Linked DNA regions of Solanum lycopersicum. The protein of the gene in region 2 binds, or shares a complex with, the protein of the main gene of each other region. Links are inferred from orthologs where the notes say so. Each region holds a gene or a part of one and is shown on either strand. Other genes may lie near its edges.

Region 1 (7,367 bases), on a different chromosome or scaffold from region 2:
CAATACAGTAATCGGGACTGACAAACCCTGCCAAAATGCCAATCAGGACAGAATATTGTCGGGCTGAAGGCAATTACAATTGCAGCAGATACTATAGCATTCATAGATTATAATTATTTCAGAATATACTATCTACTCGTCAATCTTAAGAAAAGAAATGGTAGTTATCAATATGGCAAAGAGATACAACTTAAAGAAGGCCAAAAGGACATGGTTGGACTCCACAATTGCATTACACTACAATCTATTTAGTTTTTCAAATGTAAACTGGGTCAAATATACTGGTTTTTCCATGTTAGTATAACTTATAAATAGGCCAACCAGTGGATAACTGAACAAAAATAGACTGGAATACCTATCTACAGGCCGTGCTTAATCAACATAATAAGACAGAACACAACAAGAAAATGTTACATTGTCATCTTGTTTACTTATCCTTTTCTGTAAGTCACTACAATAGCGGGTAAGTTCTTAAAAGGTCTCCTTTGCACAGTCCCAGAGAAAACTCAAAAAAAACTAATGCAACCCTCAAGGCGATAGTAGTTTGTAAGACATGTCTCCCAGATAGAAAGGTTTCTGTATAACATTTAAACATGGTAAAGTGAGAAAAAGATTGCACTTCAGGTGTGAGGAAGTATAAAAATATTAACCCACACAGTGGCTCTAGCAAACTGGGAATTCCTGTGAAGACATTTCACAACAGACATTGGGTGCCAAAGGTTTTATTTATTTACATATACACATATAAACAAATATAATTGTGATATTAGGTGGCTTAAATAATCAAAACTGGGATTCCTTAGACATCTAAGTGAGAATATAGTTGTGATGCTAAATGTTTCTAACAGTTGCTTAAAGAGAGCCCTAAGTTGTGCTGATGAATAACTACATTGTGAGTTTAGAGGACCCACAAGGGGGTTATGTTTTTATGTGCCATCTATTACAGAAAATAATTGCACTCATCTGAAATTATACAGAAAAAGAACAAAATATGAGAGGACAGGCAGTTCCGATGACAGAAGGCACCTTAAAACAGTGGCCCAATTTTTCCTGCTTCACAAGATTTTCCTAACGTTCCAAAAATAACGTAATTACTTAAGATTCAGCTTAGTATAGTCATACTCAAAGTTTGAGGTGAAAAAGGAAAACAAAGAGAGAAGTGAAATCTTGCATACCATTTGGAGTTCTATTTTATTTTCCTTTTCGATTTTTACGTTATGTCAATCAAGGGTCTAAGTCCAACAATGTGTCCTGAGAATATCCTTGTATGCATGGTTACAGAACATTGTCATCTTCTATTATTGGAAATCATTTCTGTCAACCCCATTTATCTGTAATTTCATATTCTGCTAATTGATTTCCTTAGCTTCTTATAAGCAGTTGAAGATGCAAATCAATCAATACATCAACAATCTACTGAAATAGCTCATAATACATCTATCTATCCAGTCAAATGAAGAAGTTGGAAACAATCTTTAAGCATAATATCAAACCCCAAATATTTTGAATTAAAAGGTAGAAAATTAGTGCAGAATAGGTTACACCCAGAACGAGAGTAAATTATTTTAGTGGGGTGGTCATACCATTGAATTGCACATGCGTATGTGTCTGAATAGTTGGATTTGCAACAAATGAATTGTTGAGGGTAGAGTTGAATGTGAGATGGATTCGGTGGGAGTGGATAAAGAAATTGGAAGTGAAGGAAACGTAGAATAGAATGAAGAGACAACTCACAACACCTAAGCCTGCCGGTATCAATATGAACATCACTCCCGACGCCATTGGAGCTGCTTCTTGCTTCTTCTGCCTCCCTCACTGCACATCACAAAATGTAGGTGGAACCATTAATGGGGGTACAACCATTTAGCCATTTTGTACAACAACATTTTGGAATTCTTCATTACATTCTTTCTCAGGCTAAAAATACAAAAGAATCACCTATGTTATTAACAATACATCCAAATGGACGTTAAATATTATTTTTTAACGTTTTCTCATCAAACCACAAGTCATAATAGGAAAAATAATACTCCATAATCAGTTCTTAATAAAATTGATAAAATACTCTAGCTAGATTTACTTCTTTAATTTTGTTTTTTTTTCAAAAAGTAAAATAAGAATTTAGATTAGACCTAAAACTTCTAGGAAATAATGCATTTTGGCCATATCTAAAAAGTAGTGATAAATAAAGTAAAAGGCCATTATTATTAAAGTATTTTGTCGTTTTGTATCGGCCAAATAATATAAGGCCAAGTGTAAAGCATGTCGTTCATTTTCTATTGGCTAAGTTTGTAAAATTGTTGTATAAATAGAAGGCTTCCCGTCATAATAAGATCATCATCTTTTCTCCACTGTAATTTTCTCTCTCTCTTCTCACGATTCCGCTTCCACCCCCAAAATTGTTATCACTTATTTTCCTAAAAGGTTAAAACACAATTTTTAGAAAAAATTCATTTGAAACATTTTCACTCCTATCAAAGACACCCTTTGACTTTCTAACTTGTGGTAAACAAAAACGAATATATAATATTAGATTGGGTTAGAAAAATGTTGCTCCCATTATCGTTTTTCTTTATTTTTCATACTAAGGCTATGTAGAAGTGAGCTTATGATATTTGCAGATTTAGTCATTTAGTTGATTTAGAGAAATGCATATTAGAGCAATTAAAAGCTCATGAGTCATGTCAGAGTTTGAATCCTATAAATAGAAGTACTTCCAAGTGTAAATAACGCTTTATTTGTTTCATATAGTGAAAACAAGATAAGAATTGTGATTTGCCTTTGATGGAACAAAAAGGATTGATATGGGAAAAAAAATTCACTAATGCTGGATATCTGATCTGAACACCAAAGTCTACTAAATAAAGTGAATATTTCGCTCATACAAACTTCTCATGCATTAGGATAGTATGCTTCTTATACCTACGTCCGGCATTACCAAATTGATGAGAAATAGAATATTACATATATTGTCTTTTCCGAGCTACTAATTTATAGAAAAAAACCATAGACAGGTCGGTTTCTGGTTCGGTTGGGGCACATTTCTAAATTGTATTTCAACTTACACATGCCAACAGCCGGATGATCCTGCAGCATACTAGTAAAATCCTCAGTTACGAAGCAAAATTTAGTAACACAAATGCAATTCTGAAATTTCCAAATAACTGCAGTTACAATCCAAGCTCACCCAACATGTGAAGAATGATTTGTGAGAACAATATAGCACCCTTACATAAGGGCCTTGTTCGATCGATGTCCATAAAACACCTCAACATGTCAGTCTCATATTCCCCTCTTTGGTGGAGCAACTTTCTTATAATACTTTCTCCAATGACAAATGGAAAACAAAAGAAAACATTAGACCTCTGAAAAAGCCCTATGATGAATCAGACAAATGAAAACCTGCTGAGTCTACAAATTTCTCAGGGTCGATTTGTTGACCAGACTCATGAACAAGATCAGAAGGAGAAAGCAAAAACCAATCAATGAAAGAGTGGACAATACAAAAATATGGAAACTAGTAAATTAGTTCTTTAAATAAAACAGATGAAAATTACAGCAGCCCAAAATTCTGAAAAAGATAGTTAACATATTACCAACAAAAATCAGTTGCAAGAAAACAATAAACATTAAGCTCGTTTTCCAGTTCTAGGTGAAGACTTTGGGCAGAGATCCCATCGGCCTTTTGCACGTCTTCGCTGGATAGTTGCTCTGCCACTGGTGGTGCTCATACGCTTGCGAAAACCATGTGTTCGAGCCAACGACTTCCTCGACCTATTCCTCTTAGTCTGACAAAGAGCATACTTCTTTGCCTGCACCACCAGGCCACGCCTTTTAGTGGTGCTCACTCCAATGTTGGAATTGAAGCCAATGCCAAATGATGAACCTACACCACATATTAAACCATTAGCTCGCTACTATTCATCATGCCAATTTAATATGAAATTGATCATATGTCTTTTGGACCTTAAAGGTCTCCTCTTTGTTGAAACTTTTTTGGTTCAATTGTTTTATAATCTAGCTTTAACCAATGGATTTTGACTATAAAATCAGAAATACGATTCACTTTTTTTCAATAGCACAGCAATGTCAGACCACAAATAGACACTACAAATTTGTGTTATATGGAATACTAAACATCAGAATGAAGAATTGCAACCTACTCTTGTCTCCCCCTTGTACCTTCAAAGAGTGTATATAATTTAACAGGACTCAAGATACACACAAGCGAATAATTGCCTATTAAGGAGTTCTCAAAAGAAGCAATTCAAATGAAAATACTACCTGCCTAAAACAGGAATCAATAAACAACCCCACATTACCAATTCAAATAACAACTGAAATCTCTAATTCACATTTTCAATTTCCACATCAAAATTGAAAAGGAAGATAGAGAATTTATGGAACTTACCAGAAAAGGATGTTGAAGAAGATAATGTAGAGAGTGCAGAGGAAGGAAGAAAAGAGCAGTGAAGCAACCCAGAATGAGTAGAGGCATTAGCAGCCATTTTCAAAGAAACAGAAGTAGTCGTTGTTGAAGAACCAGTACGTAGAGAAAGCGAAGCGGATGGTCTGTGGTTTCCTATTCCTGAACATACCCAACTTCCCATTGACAAAGAAGCCATTTTTTCTCTCTTTCAAAACTCTCCCTCTTACTCTTCTGTCTATCTATAAGAGGTTTTGATGCCTTATCTGCAATCCAAGGGACTCTTTAGGTAATCCGAAAAGATAAACGGGTTAAAGATGGATTTAGAGAGGGTTTGACACAGTAAAACACTTTTATTTAAAGTGGAAAGGGTAAAAATATTTTTCAATTTTATTTATTGATTTACTATGTCTTTTACCTTAAAAGGAAATTATTTTTACTCTTGTCGTTACTAATTTTCATCATTTATGCCCCTCAATTGGATGAAAATTCCAAATTTACTAAAATTATCCAATTTCATCATTTTGACCCAAATTCAAGAGCCTTTTGGGGAAAGAGATCCCAAGAGTGTAGATCTTTCATACCTTAGGATTACTTAGTGTTTGATGGATAAAATTTGAAGTATTTAAGTCCTACTCAAGCTTTGAATTGTTCTTCAATGGGGTCTTGCAATAGAGAGAGAAAGAAGAGAGAAGTTGGAGAGGATTTGAGTTTGGGAATTGTGGGGTGTTAGGTTAGTTTAATGAGGCTTAGGTATTATATAGTCCTTCAACTAACTTAATTAACCACCCCCTAACCCTTAATTAATTAACTAACTAACTAACTGATCAAATCCCCAACTTAAAAACTTGACAGCAAAACAAACCCAGTCGACGACTCCTCGACCTATGCCTTGTAGTCCCATCAACGGCCCCGTGCTGCTGGTCGTTGTTTGGGACAGAGACTTGATTTTTGGAGCATCCAGGCCAATTGAATAAGTGTCAACCTATGAGGCCATCTACGGAGCGTCGATCAAACGACGACTCCTCGCTTGGCTCGTGGTTGTACACTGTCAATTGACAACTTTTGGGTCCAAATGGAAGGGTCCTCCTCAAGGACCCCTAGGGTGGCCCTTGGGGAGTCGTACCTGTACATTTCAACCCTAAATACTCTCTTCTATATATGTAACGCCTTTTTACCAACTTTCATTAAATTACGACTCTTAAACCTCTATGCAACATGCCAAGGCACACGAGTGCATATTTCACAATCATCGAACGTCATGGTCATTTCTTGACATTTGACTCTAACACTTCCTAAATACTTTAAATATAGTATTTCAGGTAAATAAACAGTTTTTGAAGTGTTGGTTCATTATATGAATCTCTAGATTAGGTCATGGACTTTCGAAGTGTTACATTATCCCCCTTTAGGAACATTCGTCCCCGAATGACAGTAAAAATCTTTTGTAGGGGAAATTAGGAGACTCAATACTAGCAGCCCAACCAGAAACATATAAACAACATGAGTTAAAAATTAAAGGTGTAATTCACAAGTCCATTCAACACACAAACATGGAATTTGACAAATAGGAATAACCGAACCACGTCTACAAAATGCCAGTACCATGCAGCTGCTTCAAAGCCAACGTGATGCTCCTTGGTCATCTATAGCAACTCAAATCACAATTTACCACATATAAGAGCTCAACATCACAACATGAGGAACTACCTTCTCAATATTAATATGAGCTCAACATGATCATCAAGCCACTTATTCTTCAAAACATCATGCTCAATACCAATTTACGGGGGCAACAATACACAAAACACAATTAAGTACAAGCTATGCAAAAGAGCACTTTCACATGAAAAATCATTTTAGCATGAACCTTTACCATAAATATGCACATTTTAGCAAAACAAGATAAATTCAAATTTATTTATTATTTTAAGAGAATTATTTCTAAAATCAACTTTGGATAGAATTTTGAGGAAAAAGATGAGGATAACGGGACTTCAAATTGGCCTCGGACTCCCATGTTTCTTCCTCAACAAGGTGGTTTCTCCATAGGACTTTTATGGAGGCCACCTCTTTGTTCCTTAACTTTTTGACTTGATGATCTAGAATTTCCACTGAAACCTCTTCATAGGATACTCTCATCCACACCTAACCCTTCAATGGGGAGAATGGATACGGGGTCGCCAATGCACTTCTTAAGCATGGAGACGTGAAATACCGGATGAACCGAAGCTAGTTCACTAGGTAATTTCAACTCATATGCAACTTTTCTGACCCATTGCAAAATCTAATACGGACCCACATATCGGGGACTTAACTTTCCCTTTCTATCGAATCTCATCACCCCTTTCATAGATTAAATCTTCAAATACACCATATCACCTACTTTGAATTCATGATCTCTTCTTCTATTGTCGACATAGGATTTTTGCCGACTATAAGCTGTTTTAAACATATCCCTTATCACCCGAACCTTCTCCAAAGCTTCATATTTAATTTTGGGACCAAGGAGTGAAGACTCACAAACCTCAAACCACCAAACCGTAAACCTACATTGCCTACCATAGAGTGCTTCAAAAGGTGTCATGGAAATGCTTGAATGGTAGCTATTCTTATAGGAGAACTCAATCAATAGTAGGTGATTGTCCTAGTTACCTTTAATATCTATCACAAAAGCTCTTAGCATGTCTTCTAGGGTTTGAATAGTACGCTCCACTGACCATCTGCTTGGGGATGAAAAGCTGTGCTAAGCTTCACTTGAGTACCCAACCCTTTTTGAAAAGACCTTCAAAAACGAGAAGTGAATTGTGCATATCTATCTGATATGATGGAAAAAGGGATCCCATGTAAGCTCACTATCTCATCAATGTTATTCTTGCATAATCCTCCGCTAAATAAGTAGACTTGACGGGGATAAAGTGAGCAGATTTCGTCAATCTAT
Region 2 (9,350 bases):
AATGAAAATGGAGAAAAACAGGCCTTTCCACCTGTATGTTGCTTGTAGGTATATCTACTGTACTGCAAGATAAAGTTCGTGTTTTTAGTGCACTATATTAGATAGGCAAACATTAATTTGCTTCACTAATGATTCTGCTGTGAAGTATTAAAAGTCTCATGCTGGACCTTCTAAACACTTTTTAGGGCTGATCCCTCCCATCAATGCAATCAAAGAGTGGGAAAAATTGCAGTAATCAGTCTGGTCACTGGTGTATTGTCACTCTTTGCACATTACCTTGTCTCGCCATCCCTGAAAGAAAATAAGATGCCTTTTTTTTCTTGTGATTGTGTGTGATTATCTTTGATGCTGTCTTACGCAACCAAGACTAATCTGACTATAATGCAGGTTGGTGTTCACATTGAGCAGCATGCATACGCTAGAAGCCTTGCCAGATTTGCTGCAGATCTTGGGCCAGTTGTCTGGAAAGTAGCTTCTAAGAAGTTAGAAACTGTTTTACCTGCTGAAGTAAAGTTTGGTCCTGGATGGGTAGGAGAAGGTGGAGGATCAACATTATCGTCAACTTTTTCATCTCAGAACAAATCATCAGATTGCTTGGCAGCTGATCACCATTCTTCTAGAACCGTTATACCATCTATCCGGGGTGTAGGTTCTGCTGTCATATGCAGGCCTACTGATGGAAATGTTGAAGCTGGTAAGACATTGAACAGCCAAAATGACGATGTAGCAGAGGCTAGTGGTGATTTTTCGTGTGCAATTCCTCCATCTAACTCCCAGGCTAAGCAGAAACCTTCTGCAAACCCAAGAAATGGGTTCAATGGTATGATAGGGTATGATTTGTCTGCGCAAATGGAGGTAAAAAGGCTGTCCATGTCTAAGGGCGAACCGAACGTACAAGAGGCCGCCTCAAGGCCTGGTGGTCAAATGGTTGGAACTATTCCTAAAAGAGATGTTTCATCCTCTCATCAGTCACCTTCAAATCGTGTCTCCTCTCTGGAGAACAGTTTACGAGAAAGCTGGACTACATTGCATTCTGGGAATTTAGAGCAGAATTTGAGGCTTTCTGGAGATTCTCAACCTGCTTCTGTATCTGCAGGGCAGTATAGGGTATCTCTTCCGCATCCGCCAGACCTGAATGTCAAAGTCCAAACTTCAAGCTCCCCTAGTTCTAGTTTACGAGTTGGATCTCCGCAGCAGCCAGATTTAGCATTGCAGCTCTAACTTATTCATCGGCCCTTTCTGCATTTGAATCAGGTGAAGTAGATTATTCTTGTTAACCTAAATCATGGTAGGGGAACTAGGAAAATGGATGTACAGATTATGTATCCAATTTTTAGATTGAAACTAGGGAATTGGTATGTAACAACATTTTGAGAATTTGAACCCATGATTCAAACAGATAATTGGGTGTGGAATATAGGCAGTTGATACTGCAAGTAGGACCTCCCAAATATTTTGGCAAAAAACCAATAGGTAGCTAATCAGGGAAAATATGCTTTTTGGCTTCTTTTCAAAAAGTTGATTTTGGTCTATATATTACGACCCTACAATGCATAGCAACAAAATCGAATAAAGTATGTACTAACTCTTTAGTATCGTCAAGTTTGTTTGTATGGTGTACAATGTGGTTTATCATCGGTAGCAATTTCAAATTAATTTATAACTATAACAATTAAGAATAACAGACAAAATGCTATTAACGATTAATTCATACAAAAAAAAAAATAGTCTATAGTGATTGCTCTGTTTTGCCAAATCACAAAATAACTATTAATGGGCATCGGTCACTCGCGACATATTTGATTATCAATTAAAATATTAATGTGTTCATCGAATTGGGAGGCAAGTCTTATTATACGAGATAACATTCTTTATAACATTTTCAATACATAAATATATAAAATGGTGTGCATTGTAGTACAACATTGGTCTTAGTAATATAATTCACCATAAGAATGATTGAATATGTTTAACAATTGTCAATATGGATAAAAATGGTGTAGATTTGTTGAGTTGGTGTTATTATCAATTCTTATGTAAAAATAAATTGGTGTTCAATGTGGTGTAATGTTGCTGTTACCTTTCTCTTTTGTAATTATAATGACTTGCACTATAGTATAGTCATCTATAAAATAAATATTTTTGCGCCAAAATCATACAATTCCCTAATAATAAAACACCAATTAAACTACAATCGTTTTAAATGCCAAACTTTAGACGAGATGGTGAACTTTAAAGTTTATAGTACATGAAAAAAACACTATTTTACAAATTGATATGTTGTGAATTTTCATCAATAATTTGTCTCATACGATAAATGGTTTTGAACAGATTGATATTTTGATTCGTGAATAGAATATGTGTTTTTATGGTTATGAGAGGGAGGACACAAAACTAGATATTTTCATAGACTTCTGATAATGTAAAGTTTTTTAGCTAAGAAATCTGACAAATAAAACTTGAAGGTAGAGATTGGTTGAAACACAATATCATAATTTGAAAGAAAAAATTTCATCACTTCATAGAGTTGATAAAAGAAGAGGGAACAAAAATTAGTTCTTGGGGATGTTTTTGCCAACTATCTTGGCCGGAGCTATTCGCAAAAGATTTCCAGGCTTACCAGGAAGAGCTCCTTTGATCATTAGAATCTTAAGTTCATCATCAATCTTGACGATCTTGAGCTTTCTAATCTTTGTCCTGGTGCCTCCCATTCGTCCAGGCATCTTCTTGCCCTTGTATACACGCCCTGGGGTTGTCCCAGCACCAATTGATCCTAGTTGTCTATGACTCTTTGATCCGTGAGTCATTTGACCCCTCTTGAAATTATGCCTCTTGATACCACCTGCAAGCCAATTCCACCAGTGTCAACAATGAGAGAGCGAAAAACAAGATATGATAGATAGAACTTGCTTTCTGTAAAGACAATCAAATTTGAGATAAAAAATTACTTCTCTAGTAAGTGAATGATATATCTAGAGTCAAGACCGCCACCAATAGAGAACCAAAGAACTACCTGTACCTTGACTTAATAGTTACAATATGTCGATACATGCACCTGTATGGAAGTCTCGTCTGTATGATACTTCAAACAACTATTCAGGTTATGATAAACTTTTAAGACGTGAAAAGTTGATAAACCCTACTTCCACATTTAAACATCTGAAAATGTACACTGTGGAATCAACCAGCATAATTAAACACTATGATAGCAAGTCATGTTAACCAGAATATCAAGATATCCATTAATGAAGCTTATTTAGGTGCTGAAGCCATGCCACACGAAGAGAGGAGCTACCACGATGTTCAATTACAATGTCATTTTCAGTTGGAATTGCAGTATTTACAAACAAAAGTTGCGGTTATTGAGGAAAATCAATAGAAGCATTAATACAAACCATTTGGCCAAAAAGTTAATGTAGCTCATGTAACAGGCATTTCAAGTACTCTTACAAATAAGTAAAATATCATATTTACATCTATAGTGATACATTGTATCATAATTATACAAACAAATACATTCTGGTTTAAGGATAAATGAATTGCAATAGCATAACAAAGTGCAGTAATGCAAAACCAAAGACTTGATATTTCAGATGTATCACGCTACTAAAATCACAGGCCAGTTCTCTTTTAAACAACAACCGCGCTCCATCCCAAGCTAGCTATATGAATTTAGAATATCCATTTGAACTAGATTCATTAACAATACGAGTTCTCTATTTCACAGTTCACATATGAAAGACAATATATTCATAGCTCACTGATGATAAGAAAAAACTAATCACAACACATAAAATCAAGGTCAATTGTACACTTCATTCATGAAATTGGGATGAAATCTTCGGACCTGTTTGGATTGGCGTTTGGCATGGGATTTTTATAAAAACCAAAAGCCTTGTTATACCATTTCTAACCTATGGCTTTAGCTTATTTTTGACTTAAAAATAAGTGTTTATAAGCACTTTATAACTTTACCCAAATACTTAAAAACAATCGAAAATGAGCTCAAATCTTTGATAAACAAGGCTAAATTTAGATAACGACCCGAAAAAAGCAATCTTTAGGATAATTGGAGTGGTAGAGAAACAGACCTTGAAATCCTTTTCCAATGGTTGTACCAGCGACATCAACCAAATCACCTTCTTTAAATAATTCATTAAAATCAAGTTTCTGCGTTACTTCAAATCCATCAACAGACTGAAGACGAAACTCCTGCAAATGACGGAGAGGAATAATCCCAGATTTTTCAAGATGACCCATTTCAGGTTTAGTTAGTTTTCTATCACGAACTCGTCGATACCCAACTTGTACAGCACTATATCCATCAGTAGCTTCAGTTTTAATTTGAGTAATAATATTTCCTTCGCGAAACCCTACAACAGTAACAGGCACCACTGTTCCTGAATCTTCAAAGAAACTCATCATTCCAAGTTTGGTTGCCATTATTCCGACTCCAGCTTCAAGAGAGGCAGAGATAGCTGGAGATGTTGAAATGCGGAGAATTGAAAGGGGTTTATGTTTTGGGAGTCTGAAAGAGGGGAGAAATGGAGAGTGCAGAGTTAAGGGTGTGACTGTGGTGGAAGTGGGTAGGGTTTGTAGGCGGAGCTTGGCGGTGGGCATTGTAGAGAAAGAAGAGAGAGACATGGCTTACTGGTTCGCTGAGACAGAGAAAGAGGAAGGGGAAACGCCCTGTTATAGGATTTCCTTATCCGGTACAAGATGGGGAAAGAGGGAGATGGTTGCACAAAACTATAAGACCCCAAATATAAATTAAGGAGCGGTATCTCACGTAATTTTAATCGAATTTAATTTCAACTCATTTAAGTTTTAATCTATTTTTTAAAAAATATTTAATTTAATCATCAATTTCAATTTTTTTATATAACTTTTTATTTGCATTGACGTTTCTATACCGAAAGTATAAATTATTATTTATTTTATATTTTTTTAAAGATTTATCTATTAATTTGTAACTGTTTCTTTTTTTAAAAAAAATAATAATTTTGAGTTGAAATTTAAATTACAATTATAAAAATTAAATATTACTAAGTTGAAATTATTGAGATTAAGCAGGTCAAATTGAACAGGACCATGACCCATTCCAAATTTGAGTCCAATTCATTTGAACTCAAAGTAAACTTGGTTTGGTTAAAACTCAACCCAAATTTTATTTCAATTTATTTTATTATTTTCAGTTTCAACCTAACTCGCTCATTTGATACCTCCTAAGAGTGACAAATACTTCTACATCATTTATTAGAGGTCGAGTTCGAGTCTTCTGGATATAAATTTATCTTTATTAGGGAGCAAAATCCTTAATCAGAGGTCAAATTTGAATCTTTTAGATACGAAAATTGTCTTATTTAGATAGCAAGAATAAGATCATATAATTTTTTATGCGAAAATTATTAAACTAGTCAGAATTCCTAACATAATTATTATAAGATCTATACTTAAGAATAATTAATAAATGTAAATATGTCAATATTTTATTAACTATAAGGTATCATAATATAATTTAGTTACCTTTTTTTTTTCAAATTGAACCCACTTTTTTTTATCCTGTTACTGATGAAAAGAAAAAAAGAGATCTTATTATCGACTTTTTTCTCTCAAATTTTTTATCCATATTTTATCATGCCTCTCTCACACATTTGGAACAGGGGCGGATCTACTTAAGCTCGTGGGGTGCCACGCCATCCACGAGCTTCGGCCAAAACGCGATGTATGTATAGGTGTATATATGTACATTGTATCCCCCTTCTAGACCCCGGATTGAATCCGGATAACAACTTTTTTTTTTAAAAAAAAAAAGGAATTTAGCTTCAATAATTCATATTTTGAAGATTATATTTCTTTTTCTTTTAAATTCTAGTTGACTTAGTTTTAATTAATAATTATTGTTGACTAATTTAATTTATTAATCTTTAATTTTTTTATAATTTGTTATTTGTTTGATTGAGAAGCATTAAAAATAGCTTTAAACTATGTCACGTCAAATAAAAATATACTCTGTTAATAATTTTATTAAAATGTCCATACGATTAAACATTTATTCTAAAAATGTCTCCACTACTAATATTTTAAACCTAAAAATGTCTATGTTGTTATTTTATTATGTCAAAATACACCTTTTCTAATGAACATAATTTTTTTTATTTTCTAATAAAATTATTGTTTTTAAAGAATTCCTTTCTTGTTTTTTTTTTCTTTTGAAAACCTTTTAACTAAAAAAAATGGAAATAATAATATTTTTCTTAATCTCATTTTGTAATTTAAATAGAACAATGTCATGTACTTTGTAAATAATATCACAGTAACTTCTTCTTTAATTTTTATTTAGATATAATAAAATCCTTTTTCCTAATAAAATAAACAAATATTTCTATTTCTTAATCTTTTTAAAATTGATTAAGTAAATATTTTCCTGTAGAAATTGTAATTGTGAAAATATCACTTTATTTCATGAAGTAGATGAAAAATGAAATATAAAATAAGAGTGGTGATTAATATTAAGTGATTTATTTAGTTTGTTACAAGGGATATGTTTACAAATATAAGTAATTTAAAATATGTAAACTCGTCGAGAATTATTATAAATGAATAATATATATTTATAATATTAGTAAAATTATTTTTAAAAATAAGTTACGCTTAATAAATTTTGTGTGGAATCAAAACCTAAGGTTGATTTAATGGTCTAAGTAATGTGTCTACTTGACATTCACGAAGTTCAAATCCTGAATCGGCCTCTGATTTGGATTATGATTATACAATATCACTCAACTTATATATGTATAATTAATGCAAACATAATTGATACAAACATCACAAATACACTATATATTTTTTGCATACTACCAAACGATCCAATATTTAACATTTTTATTATATATTCTATCAAACGACCACAAAATAAGATATTATTAATACACAAAGTTAATGAGTTTATATCATAAGAGGTCATTGAACTATGAGAAATGATCTAACAAAGTCATTTAACTTTGTTTTATATATAAAAAAAAATCACTCAACTTAAGATATTTATCTACAAAAATCATCCAAGTACATTTATCATTAAAATAAATTTAATATACCAACATAAATTATTTTTATGCTATATAAATTACACGAATCATATAAATATTTTTTAAAATAAGTAAATCACTTTATCCTTGAGTAATCTGGTTCTTTGTTTCCAATCACAAATGAAAAATATATATCAATTTTGGGTATGAAATCCAAATTCATTAGAGCTCCAGACATATCACAATCACATTACAACTAGCTAGCAAGATAAATCTAATGGAACTCTATAAATCACATTAGGAAATTGGAAAGAGAAATTGCACATTATTACTTGTATTTTGTTTTTGTGTATATATTATTATTACTCGTTTACTTATATCAACATATATGAATATGGAGATTGGAGTATTAAAATCTTTTACGAGCAGTGGCTCATAGTGTAGAAACTGAAAATTGAAGCAACGTGGGTATAAATCGAATTTATATGGGGGCGATATGGTTTTAAAATATAAAAGTTCAATTTGTGAGATTCATATTTATATGACATATAAGATAATTTATTTGTCATATCGAAATCATAATAAATTAAAAAGGAAATCTTTTAAATTTTAGTTTATTGTGAAGTCCATATTTACGTGACATATAAAATAATTTTGGGGAAACTAAATAAATATCCTATAAAAATAAAATAGTTACAGACATATACCCTTTTATATTCATATCCTATTAAATAAATACACTATATATCCTAAATTAATTTCGCTTAACTGATACAAAATTAGTATCATACTTGTATTGATATCATAAGGTTGTTAACTTCGCTTAGATCATATATTGTATTAGTATTATTAAGGATTTTTTATTCTTTTTAAAAAAATTATCTAATTTCAACTAGTTTAATAAAATTATTTACTATTGTGACAATAAATTTGATAAGAAAATTGTTTGTCAACTTTTCACAAAATTTTTTTACTCAAATAGCATAACTATTTAATATAGTTTTAAAAAAGAAAAAAGAAGAAGAATTAATGATGTTTTAGCAACAAATATTGTTGTAAAAGAAATGTAAAGATAAATAAAGTGTGAAAGATATTTTTGTAAACATATATTTTTAAATAAACATTAACAAGATTTGTTATTTCTAATATATCAAACCAAAATGTGTACAAAATATACTGCTAGCATAACTTATGCAATCATTATTAATGAAAGCACTACTAATACAAACATTATTAATGCACCTTATTTTGTATTATTCTTGTACAATCTATCAAACAATCCTCTAAACACAGTTATTATATTCTTAGTGTGAGAAGATGAATCTTCTATGTATAAAATTCGATATGTTTATATAAGGAAATAATAAATTCAATATGAAAAAGATTTACATTTGACCAGAAATAGTTCAAATAATCAATACTTTAATTTTTTTAAGGAAAAAATAAATTTAAATAAAGTAAAAAAATCAAGACAATACCTAAAAATATATCTACATTTTTCAAATTAATAAATAATAATTTAAATATAAAATATATGAAAAACAATTTAAACATGTTTTTGACAAGATTCCCTTAAACCTATCCTCAGTGTTTCGGTCAAAAAGTATGACTTCACTTGTACGGCATTTAACATGCAATAGTGTAGTTACTACTACCGCACTAGTTCTGTTTTTCTCCCAAAACTCATTATTTAATTTTCTTCTTTAACAAAGTTGACGAGACAAAAGCAAAAGTATGAAGAATTTAATATCTTTTTTCCACTTTCTTTACCAATGTCTTAAAAACCAGGAAAGTAAATGATTTCTTGTTTAAAAGTGTGATCACTCTTTTTTTGCTGGTTTGTTCAAGTATATACAGGAAAAATGGGTGATCCGTTGATTGAAGAAATTGATGTTCTGGATGCACCTTTACCATATTCTGTAGAGACGATGCTTGATAGAATCTGCAAGGAGCAGGGGCAAAAACCACCGTGTACTGGCATTAGAAGGAGGCTGAGCTCTATTGGTGAAAAAGGGTCATTAGAAATGCTCAAAATAATATCACGTCGTCCTATCAAGAAGAGTCTCTCTGCTTTTCTTGTTTACATGATTGATCGCTACCCGGATTGTCTCTCCTCTTCCTCTAGCCCCTTCAATTGTCTACTCAAACGCTCTTCTTCCCCTCGTCTCTTTCCATCTCCAGGTACTATTTTCCCCTAATTTTAATTCCTTTTTCCTATAATGTTTGTGTACACAAAGTCTTTCGCCAAAAACATGTTACATTCTAAAAATAACACAAAACCTATTTTTTGTTATGTGTGTTTAGCGTGAAAAAATAAGTATA
Region 3 (6,353 bases), on a different chromosome or scaffold from region 2:
TGCTGGGCAGCTGGGTAAGGGAGATTGAGGGGTGGGGTTTACTACATCAGTGAAAAAAATGGATTAACTTATTTTTGATTGCATGACAGGGGAAGTTGGTGTTCCCAGGCAACTGGTTATTGAGAAAGATTCTTCATCTATTCCAGATGCAGTAGGTAAAGCTGAGCTGAGACTACCTATTGGTACGTTTTTTCTCTTCACATTCGTCTTTAATCAACTGATCCTTGGGCAGTTGACACTTTAAAACTCAAGATCTGTACCTCTCTTGTAGCCATCAAAGTTGCAACTGTGTAACTTACATGTGACAAGCATCTGAATAATTTGAAAGTGATCTCTTTCAAACTTGAGCAGTATGTGAACAATGTAATCTGTTCATGAAATCCCTGAATTGAGCTTCTTTTATCTTCTCAGTTGCAAAGCCTTTGGCTGCCAAGTCCCATGAGTTGTCTCTAGCCTATGACAAATTCTCTCTTCAGATGCTAGAACCCCCACTTGTGCTACAGGAATTTATCAACCACGGTACGTATATTATTTGAGATATTGAACTTGTGCCTTCCATTCCATGTGCAAATGTTTATAAGTCGTCGTGTTGATGATTATGTATTTTTTGTCTTGTGGTTGTAGGAGGAATTCTGTTTAAAGTATACATTGTTGGGGAAGCAGTTAAGGTTGTTAGACGATTCAGTTTACCTGATATTAGCAAGCGTGAGCTGTCAACAAACCCTGGGGTTTTTAGATTCCCAAGAGTTTCTTGTGCTGCTGCATCTGCAGATGAAGCAGATTTAGACCCTTGTGTCGGGGGTGAGCCATCTTTTCCCTCAGTGACTACTTCCTCTTTCTCGATTCATCAAATACATCATGTTTGCTTTAGATATGTGAATGCACAAATTTATGGCATACACTAGAAGAATAAAGCAGATGAAAAATAAGAGCTTCAATAAAAAATAAAAAAATGGACCAAAGGTCCGTTTTTCTGATGAAATTATCAATAAATATCCAGTCTAGTTATTAGACCGTTTTAAACAAATGCCAGATGGCCCAAAAAAGGAAATAAAAGGACAACTTGGTTTAAATGGCAATATTGGTCTTTCCCAAACCAAGCTGCCCTTTTATTTCCTTTTTGGGCTATCTGGCATTTATTTAAAACGGGTAATGACTAGCCTGGATGTGTATTAATATTTCATGAGAAAGAAACGGGCCTTTGGTCCAAAATTTTTATTTTTATCTTTTAAAAAAATTGTTTCTATGAACCAGTCAATGATTTTAAAGCTTTTCAGAAGCTAATACTATAGATCAGCAAGAGCTAGGAAGAATGGGTCGCTGTTATTAGTGGATATGAGATTTTCTTAACAAGTATGTTTATCTTATATGACTTGTCTTAGAGTTGTTTTGAGTTTTTGTCTTGTTGACATTTCTCTAGGACCATGAGCTTCTAATTCTTTTGAATCATGGTATCACAGGAGTCTGGAATGGGTTCCTTTAACGTTGATCTTTTACCGCCAACAATAAGCTTTACAATTTTTGCTGTCTCTGCCCCAATACTAGAACATTTTTGCTATTATATTCATTCTAAATGATCGTGCTTTCTTTTCATTTCAATAATTCAAACTTTTGCAACTATGTTTTAAACTTGATGTGATGACATTTTCAAGGTGCTACTTTAAATTTTCACATTTCATACTACTATTTTGAAAACTTGCTTACTAAGAAACTCAAATAAGATGATGCTTTCAAATGTTTTACCCCTAAAACCTTGCAATGCAGAATAGGTCTTTGATTATGTGGAACAGAAAGATCATTTTCTGTTTAATAACCTTCCTCCATTCGTTTCCAGAAGTGCTTTAAATGGATCATACTTAAATGATGTTTTATGAGAGGATTACAAGAAATGATTGGTTTGGAAAGGGCCATCAGTCGTGATGGTTCTTTGGTGTATGATGCCATTTGAAGTTGTTCGCGGACAGGACACTCAATCTTGAAGTTTGAAATTTAGAAACTAAGGAGACACAAAGTGTTTGGAAATGTTTAAAGCTTCTTAGTATGTGGCAAAATGGTATTGCCTTGGAACTCTTATGTGTGTGGGATTTATTACATACTGTATTTAGTTTCATGTTGCTGGATCAGACCAGTGACATCCATCTTACCTAAGTGAATACTATTATACTCGGGATGACATATGCTGTACTGTTGCATTTAATTATGTATTATCTACGTGTAGAGACCTGAAGTAAATCTTGGATGGTTGGTCATGATTTTCTTTAACATCTTATCCTTTGCAGAGCTTCCTCCGCGGCCATTACTTGAAAAGCTTGCTAAGGAACTTCGACGTAGACTGGTATATTGCTTTCTGTTTCTCTTTCCATAAATTATGCCGTAAATGATGTTTCGTACTTGCTTTACAACTTCTGATGTAAGGTAATTTCCTAAAATATTATTGCAATGTTTGTGTAGGGTCTCCATCTCTTCAACTTGGATATAATTAGAGAGCTTGGAACCAAAGACCGATATTATGTCATAGATATTAATTACTTTCCTGGTAAGAAATCCTTCTTGTAGAATCACTCAACATCTGTGATTGAAGTAGTTTGATTGTTGTGCACCACTTTCTTGAAGAAAATATTTTTCCCTTAAATTTATGATTGCAATACTTTTTTTTTTATACCATATGGTGCAGGTTATGGGAAAATGCCAGAGTATGAGCACATATTCACTGATTTTCTCCTGAGCCTTGTGAAGCAGAAACAATGAGAAATTTGTGAAAATCTGCTCCTCGTTAACTATTACTTCAAACGGAACTGCTGGGAAGGAATCTCCTGCGCAATTTCTGTAAGCTGATCGGAGACAGTGGTGGAAAGTGCAGAAGAGCTCTCTCGATAACGGTTGCTACTTTGGAAGCTTTTGCCCCTTTTGGTACACGATTCCAATTAAGTGAGCTTGGGGTCTTTTTTGTTTCCCGTCTTTGAATAATTGATAGATTCAAGAAAAGCTTTGAGGCCTTGGTAAATGTTGTCTGGAGGGCAAATAATTGGGTTTCATACTTTGTAAATATGCCATTTACAGTAGGAACATAAAATGTACATTGTTGGCTCGTCTAATCTACTGGATAGTTTGGTTTTGATCGGAATGGTTGTTGCGACATAGTTCAAAGGATTCCGATGTTGAATGAGCGAGTATATTGCCTTAATGCAAATACAAACATAGCTACTGTTTTCTCATTCATTGTTTTTAGTACGAGACCCCTCTCCCCGATCACATTTGATATTTGCTTTACATAATATATAATTTTGCTATTTTATTATACGGAACCGATATTCGAAGGATATTGTTTATTATCTCACAAGCTACGGCATTATCCAGTGGCATTGAATAGATTAAAAAGTAAAGCGTAAAACATTCATTTCAAATCACTTATTGCGCCAAAACTGCAATTGAACAAGTTGCAAATTTCCCCAAAGTATCAGACGGAAAACACCATTATACAAAAGCCGAAATGATAAGTTACAGAAAAATTACTCAGATTTGGCGTCGGACTCTGAAGCTCCGGCGGCAGCGGGTTGACCCGATTCATCACTGGCAAAGGACCACTCCGATGGTAAGGGAGGTAACGGAGCATAAACAGCTGGTCCACGTCGAATATCCCAAGCTTGAGTCTTCCGTGGACGTGTCTTCTTATGGTGAGCTGTAGCCTTCTTCTGTGGCCTAGATGAGCACTCAATTACCAATCCCCCGATACTTGTGGGTGCCGACGCCAACCTGGTGGCTCCGCCGGTGAATCCGGTCGCTGAAACAGTTGAGGAACGCGGCAACACCGCCATCTGCAACCCGAATATGGCGGAGGCTGACATTTTCTTTTTTCTTCTCTTCAAAGGTTTTTCCTTCTTCTGGCTGTGTTTAATGGAACCTTTGAAGTGGATTGCCTTCGTTATCTTCTGGTGACTTCAGTTTCTGCTAAGGTTACGACACCGTTTGGCATTTGGGCCTTAAAGCCCTTTTGGGTTATTTGAGTGTTGGATGTAGTAGAACAACAATTGGTCTGGCCCAAATAAATCTGTGGGATCATTTACACTTTTGCTTCTATTTAGTGTTGGTCTTTAATTTATGTATAGTTTATATTTTTGTATAATAATAACTTACCATTTATGTTCATATATTAAGTCTGAAAACTAAACGTAACTTCACAATCGATAGGAGCGATGGACGGTGTGTATAAAGGGCAGAGACGGAGAAATTCTTAGTTAGAGACCCAAAGGTCATTGTGATTAAAGAATAGTTTATGAAATTTTAGTACATAAGTGAATATAATTTAGAGTCAAAAGTACACGGCCTAATTGAGTTCAAATGAGTAATAATCTTATAAGATCATGGGACACAATTCCTCAACTTGTGTCTGTATGTTTGGTAATGTTTTCAACTAGTCATAATTATTTTAATCTTTCTCTGATATTATATGATTTAATATAAAAGTTATTGTATAATATATGGAGCATAGTAGTTGTATTTTGGACATAACTATGAGAAGTGAATGTTGACTATTAGTAGGTTACATGTTTAGAGGAAATGACTTTACTTCTAAAAGGTTAAATTGTTCCTTCAATTGGTGTCAAATCGTTTCATTTTCCTTCCTTTTTCGATGATATTGAAGTAAACTTCACTTGAATGGATACTTTTATTTTTTCATTACCATAATAACACTTTTTTGTTATTAGTTGCTTATTTAGGCACAACTTGAGTTCACGTGTACCTATTACTCTTTCCTTGCTATAATATATATGTGTAAAATCACCCCACTCCAGAAGGATTAATAGTGTTTTTTATCCATCAAACGTGAACTCAATCACTTGATGTTGAAGGCGACTCAATCAATTATTACATGACAATCAAACACCGTGAAAAAGATACTTGAAAATAAGTAGGTCATACAAAATACACCTGAGTATGATTCTTACACATAAAAGAACAAACATATACGTCTCTTTGCATCTACTGTTAGCCTTGTGAGTAATATTATAGGCCAGTCTATCCCATTTGTAGTCCGTGACCTTTATTGTTCCCCCACTTATATGAATCATCAAGATTAATGGATTGACCAACTTCATCTGCACTAATCAGCCCAAAACATCCTATAGCCGAGTAAAAATGAGTTGGTTACCTCTAGCATTTTGGCAATTAGTGCTTTGTTTTATTGGAAAAAGAGTTAAATTGCATATTTTTATAACTCTGGTGTCCGATCCAGTATCATGTACCCTGATAGTCAAAGATGAAAGAAAATAGAATAGTGGTTTTATGTCGATCGGAATTTAAATCTATGATCTTATCAATTTCAAGCTAATTATGTTTTTCAGAAGATAATTTAATTAATTTTCAAAGTTAAATTAGATTATATTTATTTGATATTTTAAATTTAGATATTTAAAAACTATATGAAAATATTTTATCATAAAATGTTATTAAAAATGAATTGAACGGTAGGCCATAGCTTTGAATGTTATGCTTAAGTTTACTCTGTCTTCCTATTAAATTTACTGCCCTTATTGGTTATTAATGTGGGTATCTCAAGATTTACTCAACTTTGGCAAATTTTAACCAGTTAACTAACAATAAAAGCATATTAGTAACATGTTTTGACTAACTTCTAAATTAAATTTATTTTGAAAAGTATTTAAAAAATATTTTCGAAGAGAAGTAATTTATGTTTGATTAATAAATTTTTTAAAAGTATTTCAAGTATAATTTTACTTGGTCAAATTTTTAAAAGTATTTCGTGTATTATTTTTATAAAGTGTTTTTCTAAAAGACTATCTCCTTAGGATCACTTATTTTCTTTTAAAATTTTAGTCAAACACCAACCTTTCAAATTATTGATCTAAAAGAGTAGATTCAAACGAAGAGCAAATTTATTCTATTTCTATATTTAAGGAATGAATTTCATCATTTTTTAAATTTGGAATTGGATATTTAAAAAGAATTGAAATCGATGAATTAGGAAGTTAGAATGATTTAACAATGGCAAGATTACAGCCTACGATTATATTATTTCTTGATTAAACAATACGTAATCAAGTATTAACAATAACACAACAAACGACAAAAATAGCAATTAACAACTATAGAGTAACATAAAAAAAAATCACAAATCTTTTATATTAACATCATTAAATATTTATTGACAGCAGCAGCAACAGCTAGCTAAACTGGTGATCAATTACAATATTTTCTTGACGATTTTATAAACAATTATTTCCTCTTATATTTGACCCCTCAAACATGATTAGCTACTAACATACTTAATTGGATACCACTAATCCTTTTTGCTGACTTTTCTCCTTTAAATTAATCAAATCCGCCAAACTTAA
Region 4 (8,356 bases), on a different chromosome or scaffold from region 2:
TGCTGTTCCATTTGTCGTAGTTGCTGGCATTCACAAGGTATCTGAGCTTTATTATCTCTACATATTACTCCCTCCATTTAAATTTGTTTGTCTTAGTTTCCTTCTTAGTTTGTTTCAAAACGAATTCCTCTTTCCTTTCTTGGCAACTTCTTGATTCGAACTTTCCACATGACATATTTAAGGACACGAAGTTGAAGGGCATTTTGGTACATTCCAAAGTCTTCTTTACTTTCTTAGGGAGTTCTTTTTTCCTTACCCATCCCCATGACACCCACCCTTTTGCTCCTTTGGTGACTCAAACCCACAATCTTAGGGTTGGAGGTGAGAGGGGCTTACCATCCATGCAACTCCTGAGTCTGCAATGGAGGGACTAACTATCAAAAAGGTATTATTAAGGTGGGTGGGCGGAGGTGGGGGTGGGGGGGTGGAGAGAGAGAGGTCATGAGAACTATCAACTTGTACAGTCCAAACCGTTTAAGTGGCTATTCTCTCAGCTCTTACTATTGGCGATTTTTATACATCTTGCTGATTATCATTCTCAATTTAGAAGGCTCTGATAACATGAGAAGAACTCAGCTTTTCAGGTTTACTATGATGTTCAGAACCTTTAAAAATGGTGTATAATGTTGATGTAAGGCTTTGCAGATCCTTGAATCCATTTTGAGTTGACCATAAAGTTATCCTTTTTACACTTGCCACTTCAGCAGCAAACTCTTTTTCTACTTTTTCTTGCAGTTATCATTAGTTAGTCCGTTTAACTATTTTCTTTCTGCTACAGTTGTGCCCTTCTTATCCACACAATCCAGAGGTTTGTCTGAATGACATGCGATCCCCTGCTGAACTTCTCGAATTCGGGCTATTTTCAAACTGCATGGAATTTGGAATGGATAGTGGGGCTCCTCTTCAAGTTGTCAACCCTGGTTTTGATTATGTGGCACCCGAGCTTGTCAGCCTTCTCATCACCGACATGTGAGGATTCTTTACCATTTTCAACTTTTTATTCGTCTTTGCAACAACGATGTCTCAATCCCGAGCTAATTTTGGCTTGCACATAACAAAGCAGCGTGGATAATACAGTTCTACATTGTATCCTCTACTAATATACGGGAATCTTTTATTTTGTTATGTTTAGTATGCACCATTCAGTATGATGAAGTTCAGTTTACTTTTCAAAGAAAAAGACTACTGCGTTTTAACTCCACCATAGTTTATAGTGCATAAAATAAACTACTAAAAAAATCGAGTCAAGGTTTTACATGCAAAAGTTTGGTGTATTTGGACTTAGATAGGCTGAAGGGAGCAACATGGACCATGAGGATTCATGTAGCCGACCCCACGTTGCTTGGGATTGAGGTTTAGTGGTTGTTGTGTTTAAGAGGGCGTGCAATGGGAATTCGTAATGTATTATTTTGCCACTTTATGAGTTAATAAGCAGTTTTATGATAATAATACTTCTTGCATCTTTCTGATTTACAGTGGAGGGCATAACCCGTCATATATGTATCGTCTCATATCGGACTACTACACAGCTGATGATTTTGATTTGCAAGGGAGGATACATAAATGAAGGTGATACTTCCTTTAAATTCTGGTTTTGACTTCGAAATAATCTTTCTGAACATTGAACATGTTTGTTGGCCATTTTTAGGAGAAAAAATTGACTGCTTCAGCAATTAAAGCTACTTTTATTATTTAACCATGGTTAAATTGCCATCCTCTGTACATAATGTCAAATAAAAATATAAGAAAATGAGGATCTTTTGATAAAGCGTCGATATACACATCAGAATCTATAGCATAGCAAGAACTATAAAGAAGGAAAGAAAAGCAAAACAAAGTTTTATCTCAATTTCAGACTACTGCACTTCCTGGCCTTGGATTAACTTGATTCAGTGCTTATATTGGGTGCGAGTAAGTTTTTACCTTCCTGAAATCAATCTTTGTTGGCGAGTTACTATGTATCTTTAGTCTATTAGACTCTTACTACGACCACACAAAAACTTTTATGATTGTTGCTTTGATCAGTTTTTTTTGTTTATGCAGAAAGTATATTGAACTCCTTACTGAATTTAAGCAATACATGCTGATTTCAGGTATCTTTTGGAGAGCTGTAGTTGACTGATGAAGAGAAGTGGCAACCAAAAAATCAAATGGAACGTGTTTGTTATCCACTTTGTTGGATAGCTATAAATGAGCTTTTTAGCATAAACACTTTCTGAACATTCTGTACTTTGTTCAGACTATGTTTTGACTTGTTTAATGTATTGTAATGTGTCAAAGGTGGTGATATTAGTTTGTTTCGTTCTTGTTATGGGTGAATGTTTAGATGAACTTTACCTCTTGAATTACATGTATCCTCTATGCATTTGTCTCTTGAATGTAAAGGTTAAACGAGTATCGCGCACACACAAATATGGACCTTTGATTCCCTTTTTTTGGTTGTGCATAACCACTCTTAAGAAGCTCATAGAGGGACCAAAAAACACCTTTCGTTTTTCACCCCTAGTCCGCGACTAAGTGGGAATTATCTGAACTTCAGAAGCAGTGTCACTATCACAGGGTTTATTAGTGAACAGCCTGCATTTCCAGGCTAAACTGTTCTTTTCTTGAGATATGAGAGAATGATGTTGATATTCATTGAAAGTAGGTGATCAAGATATGCTTGGAGAGTAATATCATGAAAACATATAACTACAAATCAACAAGCAATGCCAAAAAATAAAGTTATGGTTTTTGAGGGCATCAAAATTAGTGTCCAAACAAATATGCTATCAGGTTCCAGGTTCTACTTCTTGCTGAGATCAATCCCAGCTTTCTTGGCTACAGCATCAAGTCCATTTTTCTCAATGGTCTTTATGGCCTTTGTTGACAACCTCAGTTTCACGAATCGTTTGCCTTCCTCCCACCAAATTCTCTTGTATTGAAGGTTTACGAATTGCAACTTTTTCGTTTTGTGGTTTGAATGAGAGACCTTGTTTGCCCTGTTGGACTTCTTGCCAGTGAAGGGGCATACTCTACCTGAAAAAACAGAATGTATTCTCTTAATATTCTATACGCTACTTATCATAAAGAGGCGCCAAGATATTCGAGCACAACCGACAAAAATGCAGGAAAGCAGGGGGGGAAAGGAAAGATCATGATGATGTAAGGCAAAGGATGCTTCACTGGGAATATTTGATTACTCTTGTCCCTAATTTGTTTTATTTTACCTATTAGCTCAAAGGCTTTAAGTAGTTTTGGACTAAAAAAACAAAGGAATTCAGGATGCAGTTTGACAAATGCAGCAACTTAGAAAGGGAGTCAAAGCAAGCAAGAGTGTCAGTGATATAGTGCTCCTAATGACTCTCATAATGTGCTTTCTGATTAGTAAACTAAAGCTTCATCAGTGATCTAAAAGCCAAATACTCTGCCATTACTGGATTTCACAAAAGGTAAGTCAACCCTTTACAATTTGTTGTCATACAATGAGAACGAATTAAACCAAGCTGTTATCATCATATTCAAAATATAATGTACACCAGAGGGGCGAACACACCGAAGATTCAAGTTCTGTAGATTTTTCCTTCCAAATCTGCAGCTAACACACTCTCTCAGCCTCTCATTATTGGTTTCGTCTTCTTTTTAACTAGTTTGGTCACTTGTAATAAGGACACAGGTGGGTAAATAAATATTAAAAAATGCAGAAGGTGAATTTGAGAGGTAAATGGATTTACATATTCTTGATAGCGAGAAATCTACTTTCATAAGCTTTGAATCTCATAAAGCTTTTATTTCACTATTAGGCTGCAAGTTTCATGGAGAGAAGAATAGGCAGATGGAAATCCTGCTCATTATCAAGAGAGGTGAAAGCAAGAAAATGAAGCTCCCTTTAGGCTGCAGTCAGTTTTTAATGAGACCTAAAAGGCCTCGACAAGAATTATAATATCTTCTCATGCATATAGTATTTCTTTTGCAGCTTTGTCTATGAATTGCAGCAAAGGAATGCAAACTTTGTTAACCAAAAAACTGTTGATACCATCTATATAAGAAATTTATCATGAAATAATTTATAATTCTTCACTTGGACAATCTGTTATGCCTTAAATATCGGCAATCCTTAAGTCAGAGAACAAAGAGCCAAGGAGGAAAAATTAGGGATCATTCAGTATATGAAGACAACTATGGACAAACTTCCAAACTATATACCGTATTTTATTGATCTTGTTGTTATTAATGCAGTTAACGCGGCAGCTCCCTTTAATCAATATGCTGTAGTCCATCAAGCTCTTCCCAGTTTGTTAATTTTGCACATGGTGAGGTTGTCCTATCCCTATTTCTTGCGACTGTAGACAGACTTTTAAACCCCTGGAATGATGACACCCCTTTAATCTCTCCTCTTGAAGTTATATAAGAAGTTGTTTAGATAGTAAACTATAATATGGTTTTTAATCATTGATTATCATATGTAACTTAATAATATGTGATTAATGTCAAGTGCTCAGCTTACCATACCACAGATTTCAAGAAAACAATATATTTAGTTTGCAAATTGCAACTGAATCAAACTTTTTCCAACTTTGGCTATGTCTTCAGATCCTCCACATTGTAAGGGATAATTTTCATCCCATATCAGCAATACTAACTTTCACTTGGTACTAAACAATCTAACGTAATGTGCTATCAACACAAAGCACATATCTGAATTCTAGACACCCGACTACTAAATGGGGTCTCAGGTATGGAATGAGCAATTATCTGAGTAACACTCATGATGATTTCGGTCCTGTGACCCTTTGAGTACGGCCACTCCACACACACACAAATAAAAAGGCTACCTGCACCAAAATGATGATTCATCGTATTAACATTTGAAAGTTATCATCTTTCCTTTTTCCCCATCAATGTTCAAGAAGAACTTACTATCCCTACTTCATGGGTAGAGGGACCGAAGGTGTATACCATACAGTATCCCTTTGCATGTGATCCAATTAATTGAAATTCAGAAAGCTGAAATGTCACCTCTACCATCAATAGGTCTACAAAGTTAATATTTCCGCCCCTCGAACTCGTAACCTTCAGGTCAGCAAAGGAGCAACCTTGCAATTGCACCAAGACTCTTTTTTTATTTTAAATAATGGTAATGTCGGGGTCAGTTTGCACATACTTCAACAACCATTACCCTAAGTAACAAGTACTTAACTAAACTTCAAATTATCAGATACAATTTCCTTTTGACAATTGTGGTGTATGGCCAGTATGCGCACACCTCGACTAATTCTAAGGTTACCTACTGCCTCCCCACAAGCACAATTTCTTACACACAATTCACAATATTGTTAAAACCCAACAATTCACTGAAACAAACAAAACAACAAACAGTTCATGTGCATATTACTAGACCAAAAAAGAAACAACCCCAACAACTAAAAACACAGAGAACACAACAAAAGGGTAGAGAAATTACGAGCAACAGGTTGAAGGGCTGTCTTGAAAGGAACAGAAAGTGAAGCAGGAGAGCTCAAATGGGTGCTTGAAATCTTGATGCCACTCAATTGAGAAGTCACAAAACTCAACTCTGAGCTGAATTTCACCTTGGGTAAAGCCCTTTTGGTCACTGCAAATGTCCTGTAACCACCCACTACTGGTCCTCTGAGGCTTATACCCGCTGTGATTGTCGCCATTTTTGCAACCAATTCCTCAAAGCAAGAATCTTTTTTGTCTCAAGAATGTTGCTTTTTTTTTTGAAGAAGGAAGTGAAGAGTGGATAACGAAATGGATGTGGGTAATGATTTTATTTGTTGGCCTTCATATTTTTTTTTATTGTTATTATATATTTAACTTATTTTTTCCTTTAGTCTAATAATATCAAACGATTTAAATAAAAGAATAAATAAATAACAAAATCTAACTTATTTGGAAGTAATATGTTATCATAGTTATGCTTTAATTTTATTTGCATTACTTGTGTTATCTTAGTTTATGCTTTAATCTTATTTCCATTACTTACTCACGTGGAAGTCTAATATCACAAACCAAACAAAGAGAGTATTAAGCCTATACCAAAATCAAATCATTATTAAGCCTATACCAAAATCAAATCATTATAATATTAAGCGTTTTCTCCCTCTTCAGGTTCCACTTATGATAAACCAAACAAATAGACCAAAATCAAATCATTATAATATTGAACGTCTCTACTATCTTCAAATCAATCACACTATGTTATGAATGTCCTTATCTCTCTAACCAAACAACCCCTAAAATCTGTTATCCCATCAACTGTCCAACTGAGTCAGTGACCAACATCATTTAGAACTACAAGCACAAGACATTAAGGCAAAATAATAAGAAGGTAAATAAAAGATTTCAAGAAGCCATAAGATTGTGCTCCTGTATATTGTAAGTAGTAGGTAAACTGTTGCAACTTAAAAACAAAGTTCATAATTTTTAGATGACATAATACAATGGCTCATTCCTTCATCCCATTCTACATCTGGGAGAAAACATGTATTCCGCTTCAAATCGGGTACGACTCTCGCACTAACAAAAGGGTTAACACCAAGGCATCTCAATAATGGTAAAAATTGCAAACAAACATTCAGTTAAGCATTGTGAAATCCTATGTTAACGTCGTTCAAGTTTGGGGAGATCTGCATAAGGTTTTGAATGGGCCAAAAGAAATTAGTTTTGTTTAGCAAACTTTGTCTGATAGAGATCAAGGGGAACATACTCCACAGTCACTATTCGGTCGTCAAACAGTCGTCCATGTAGACAATGAGCAGCCGTGCATGCAGCTTCTGCTCTTCTAAACTCCACAAGTACACAGCCCGGATCAAACACTTCAGTAATAGGGATTTCTTCCTTTTTCTCAAGTTCCTCTGGAGCATCCAACTCTTCTTTCGATGAGAATTCTGGTTCAGAAGGTCTATCGTCTACATTTCCATTGTCTTCCTCTGACTTAATTGCTTCCTTAACTGGTGAGTCATTGTTTATCTCAAGATGCTCCAGTGGACTGGGATTAGCATTTTCATCTTTCCTTTCTGAAACCATACCAGTACGGGTAACCTCGAGATTTTCTTGGAAGATTGTCTCTTGAGCAGAGACACTACTGTCATCTGGTAGAGGGTCAGAGCTGTCGTCTTTTATTAGCTCCTCAGAAGGTCTATCATCCGAATGACTGCCACCAGCCAAAGCATCGTCATCCCCAGCCTTTTGAGAATCATCTTGTGAAGATTCTGATATGTGTGTTTTACTATCAGCACATCTTTCAGCTTCCTTATCACTATTGGTTTCCATGGGTTCATCACTGTTGGGGAAGTGTGGCCTACCAACTTCCAACTCATGATCATCACTGTTGGGGATGTGTGACCCACCAACTTCCAACTCATGATGATCACTGCTGGGGAAGTGTGGCCCACCAACTTCCAACTCGTGATCATCACTCCTAGTGATCGGATCATTTTTGTCACACTCTTCCCCAAAGTCCATATTGCTATCGTTCAAGGTAGAACTAGTATCCATAGCAGCAGGATCAGATATGAGAGAACATTGACTTTGCTTTACAACATTAATTGATTTAATAGCGCCAAACCTACAGATCAAAAGAAAACCTTCCAGATCAGTAAATAATTGACAAGGAGAAAAAAAAAAGAATGACATTAAGAAATGCGACTTTTCATAAATGACCTGGCACACTCCAATCTGATGTCTTCCAGTAATTCTTCAAGTTCTGCTTCAGACAAAAAACTGAGTACATTTGCATCCACCTGGACAGGACACGGTGATTAGAGGAAAGACTTTAGTAACCCCTTGGTAAGTTTTTTGCAACATCTAAGAAACATAACCCCAATAACAGAGTTTTTAACAAAGAACACCTCCAAAATATACCTCAAAGGTCAACTACATCCTTAATATATCACTGTTAGCAAGTAACATTGGTAGAGTGTATAAAAATAATGCTAAATAGAGTGTATTAGTAATGCTTGCATTAGCAATACATGTATTAGTTATGCTTGCATTAGTTATACATAGATTATTTTTATGCATTGTTTGATTTGATGCATAAAAAGATAGCATGCATTGCATAAAAAAAAAATTAAGTTACAAAGATACCCTCCACTATTATAGCAAAAAAGATGTAAAAAGGTTTTGAGGGACAATTGGGTCTTTAATCATGCTAATGCATGCATTAAAACCATTGCATTGCTAATACCTAGAAATACATGGCATTAGCAATACACACCTTAATACACAGAGTGTAACTAATGCAAGCATTAGTTATACGTAGGTTGAAAAAGAGTATCAAACAAGGTACTAGTAATACACAGGGCTAATGCATGCATTATTTTTCCTAATACACGCTACCAAACGACCCCTT

What was found.
Region 1: large ribosomal subunit protein uL3c (region 2) and large ribosomal subunit protein bL34c share a complex: the UniProt entries of both Arabidopsis thaliana proteins name them as parts of the 50S ribosomal subunit. The link is inferred for Solanum lycopersicum from reciprocal best matches to the Arabidopsis thaliana genes AT2G43030 and AT1G29070.
Region 3: large ribosomal subunit protein uL3c (region 2) and large ribosomal subunit protein cL38 share a complex: the UniProt entries of both Arabidopsis thaliana proteins name them as parts of the 50S ribosomal subunit. The link is inferred for Solanum lycopersicum from reciprocal best matches to the Arabidopsis thaliana genes AT2G43030 and PSRP6.
Region 4: large ribosomal subunit protein uL3c (region 2) and large ribosomal subunit protein bL28c share a complex: the UniProt entries of both Arabidopsis thaliana proteins name them as parts of the 50S ribosomal subunit. The link is inferred for Solanum lycopersicum from reciprocal best matches to the Arabidopsis thaliana genes AT2G43030 and PRPL28.

The regions. Positions count from the first base shown.
Region 1 is NC_090800.1:53,255,167-53,262,533, reverse strand, and holds large ribosomal subunit protein bL34c, read right to left. Parts: upstream 4,753-7,367; 5' UTR 4,626-4,752; coding exon 4,412-4,625; intron 3,887-4,411; coding exon 3,630-3,886; 3' UTR 3,510-3,629; downstream 1-3,509. UniProt on the Arabidopsis thaliana protein: This protein binds directly to 23S ribosomal RNA.
Region 2 is NC_090805.1:36,927,095-36,936,444, reverse strand, and holds large ribosomal subunit protein uL3c, read right to left. Parts: upstream 4,853-9,350; 5' UTR 4,645-4,852; coding exon 4,092-4,644; intron 2,843-4,091; coding exon 2,553-2,842; 3' UTR 2,473-2,552; downstream 1-2,472. Other genes in the region: uncharacterized protein, read left to right, coding at 388-1,221; TY-1/TY-3 (probable RNA-dependent RNA polymerase 3), read left to right, coding at 8,891-9,209. UniProt on the Arabidopsis thaliana protein: One of the primary rRNA binding proteins, it binds directly near the 3'-end of the 23S rRNA, where it nucleates assembly of the 50S subunit.
Region 3 is NC_090803.1:63,900,601-63,906,953, forward strand, and holds large ribosomal subunit protein cL38, read right to left. Parts: upstream 3,846-6,353; coding exon 3,510-3,845; downstream 1-3,509. Other genes in the region: inositol-tetrakisphosphate 1-kinase 3, read left to right, coding at 90-182, 412-519, 625-801, 2,280-2,335, 2,452-2,536, 2,675-2,748.
Region 4 is NC_090808.1:67,406,456-67,414,811, forward strand, and holds large ribosomal subunit protein bL28c, read right to left. Parts: upstream 5,810-8,356; 5' UTR 5,661-5,809; coding exon 5,444-5,660; intron 3,019-5,443; coding exon 2,786-3,018; 3' UTR 2,615-2,785; downstream 1-2,614. Other genes in the region: uncharacterized protein, read left to right, coding at 1-37, 779-969, 1,477-1,567; uncharacterized protein, read right to left, coding at 6,661-7,570, 7,666-7,745.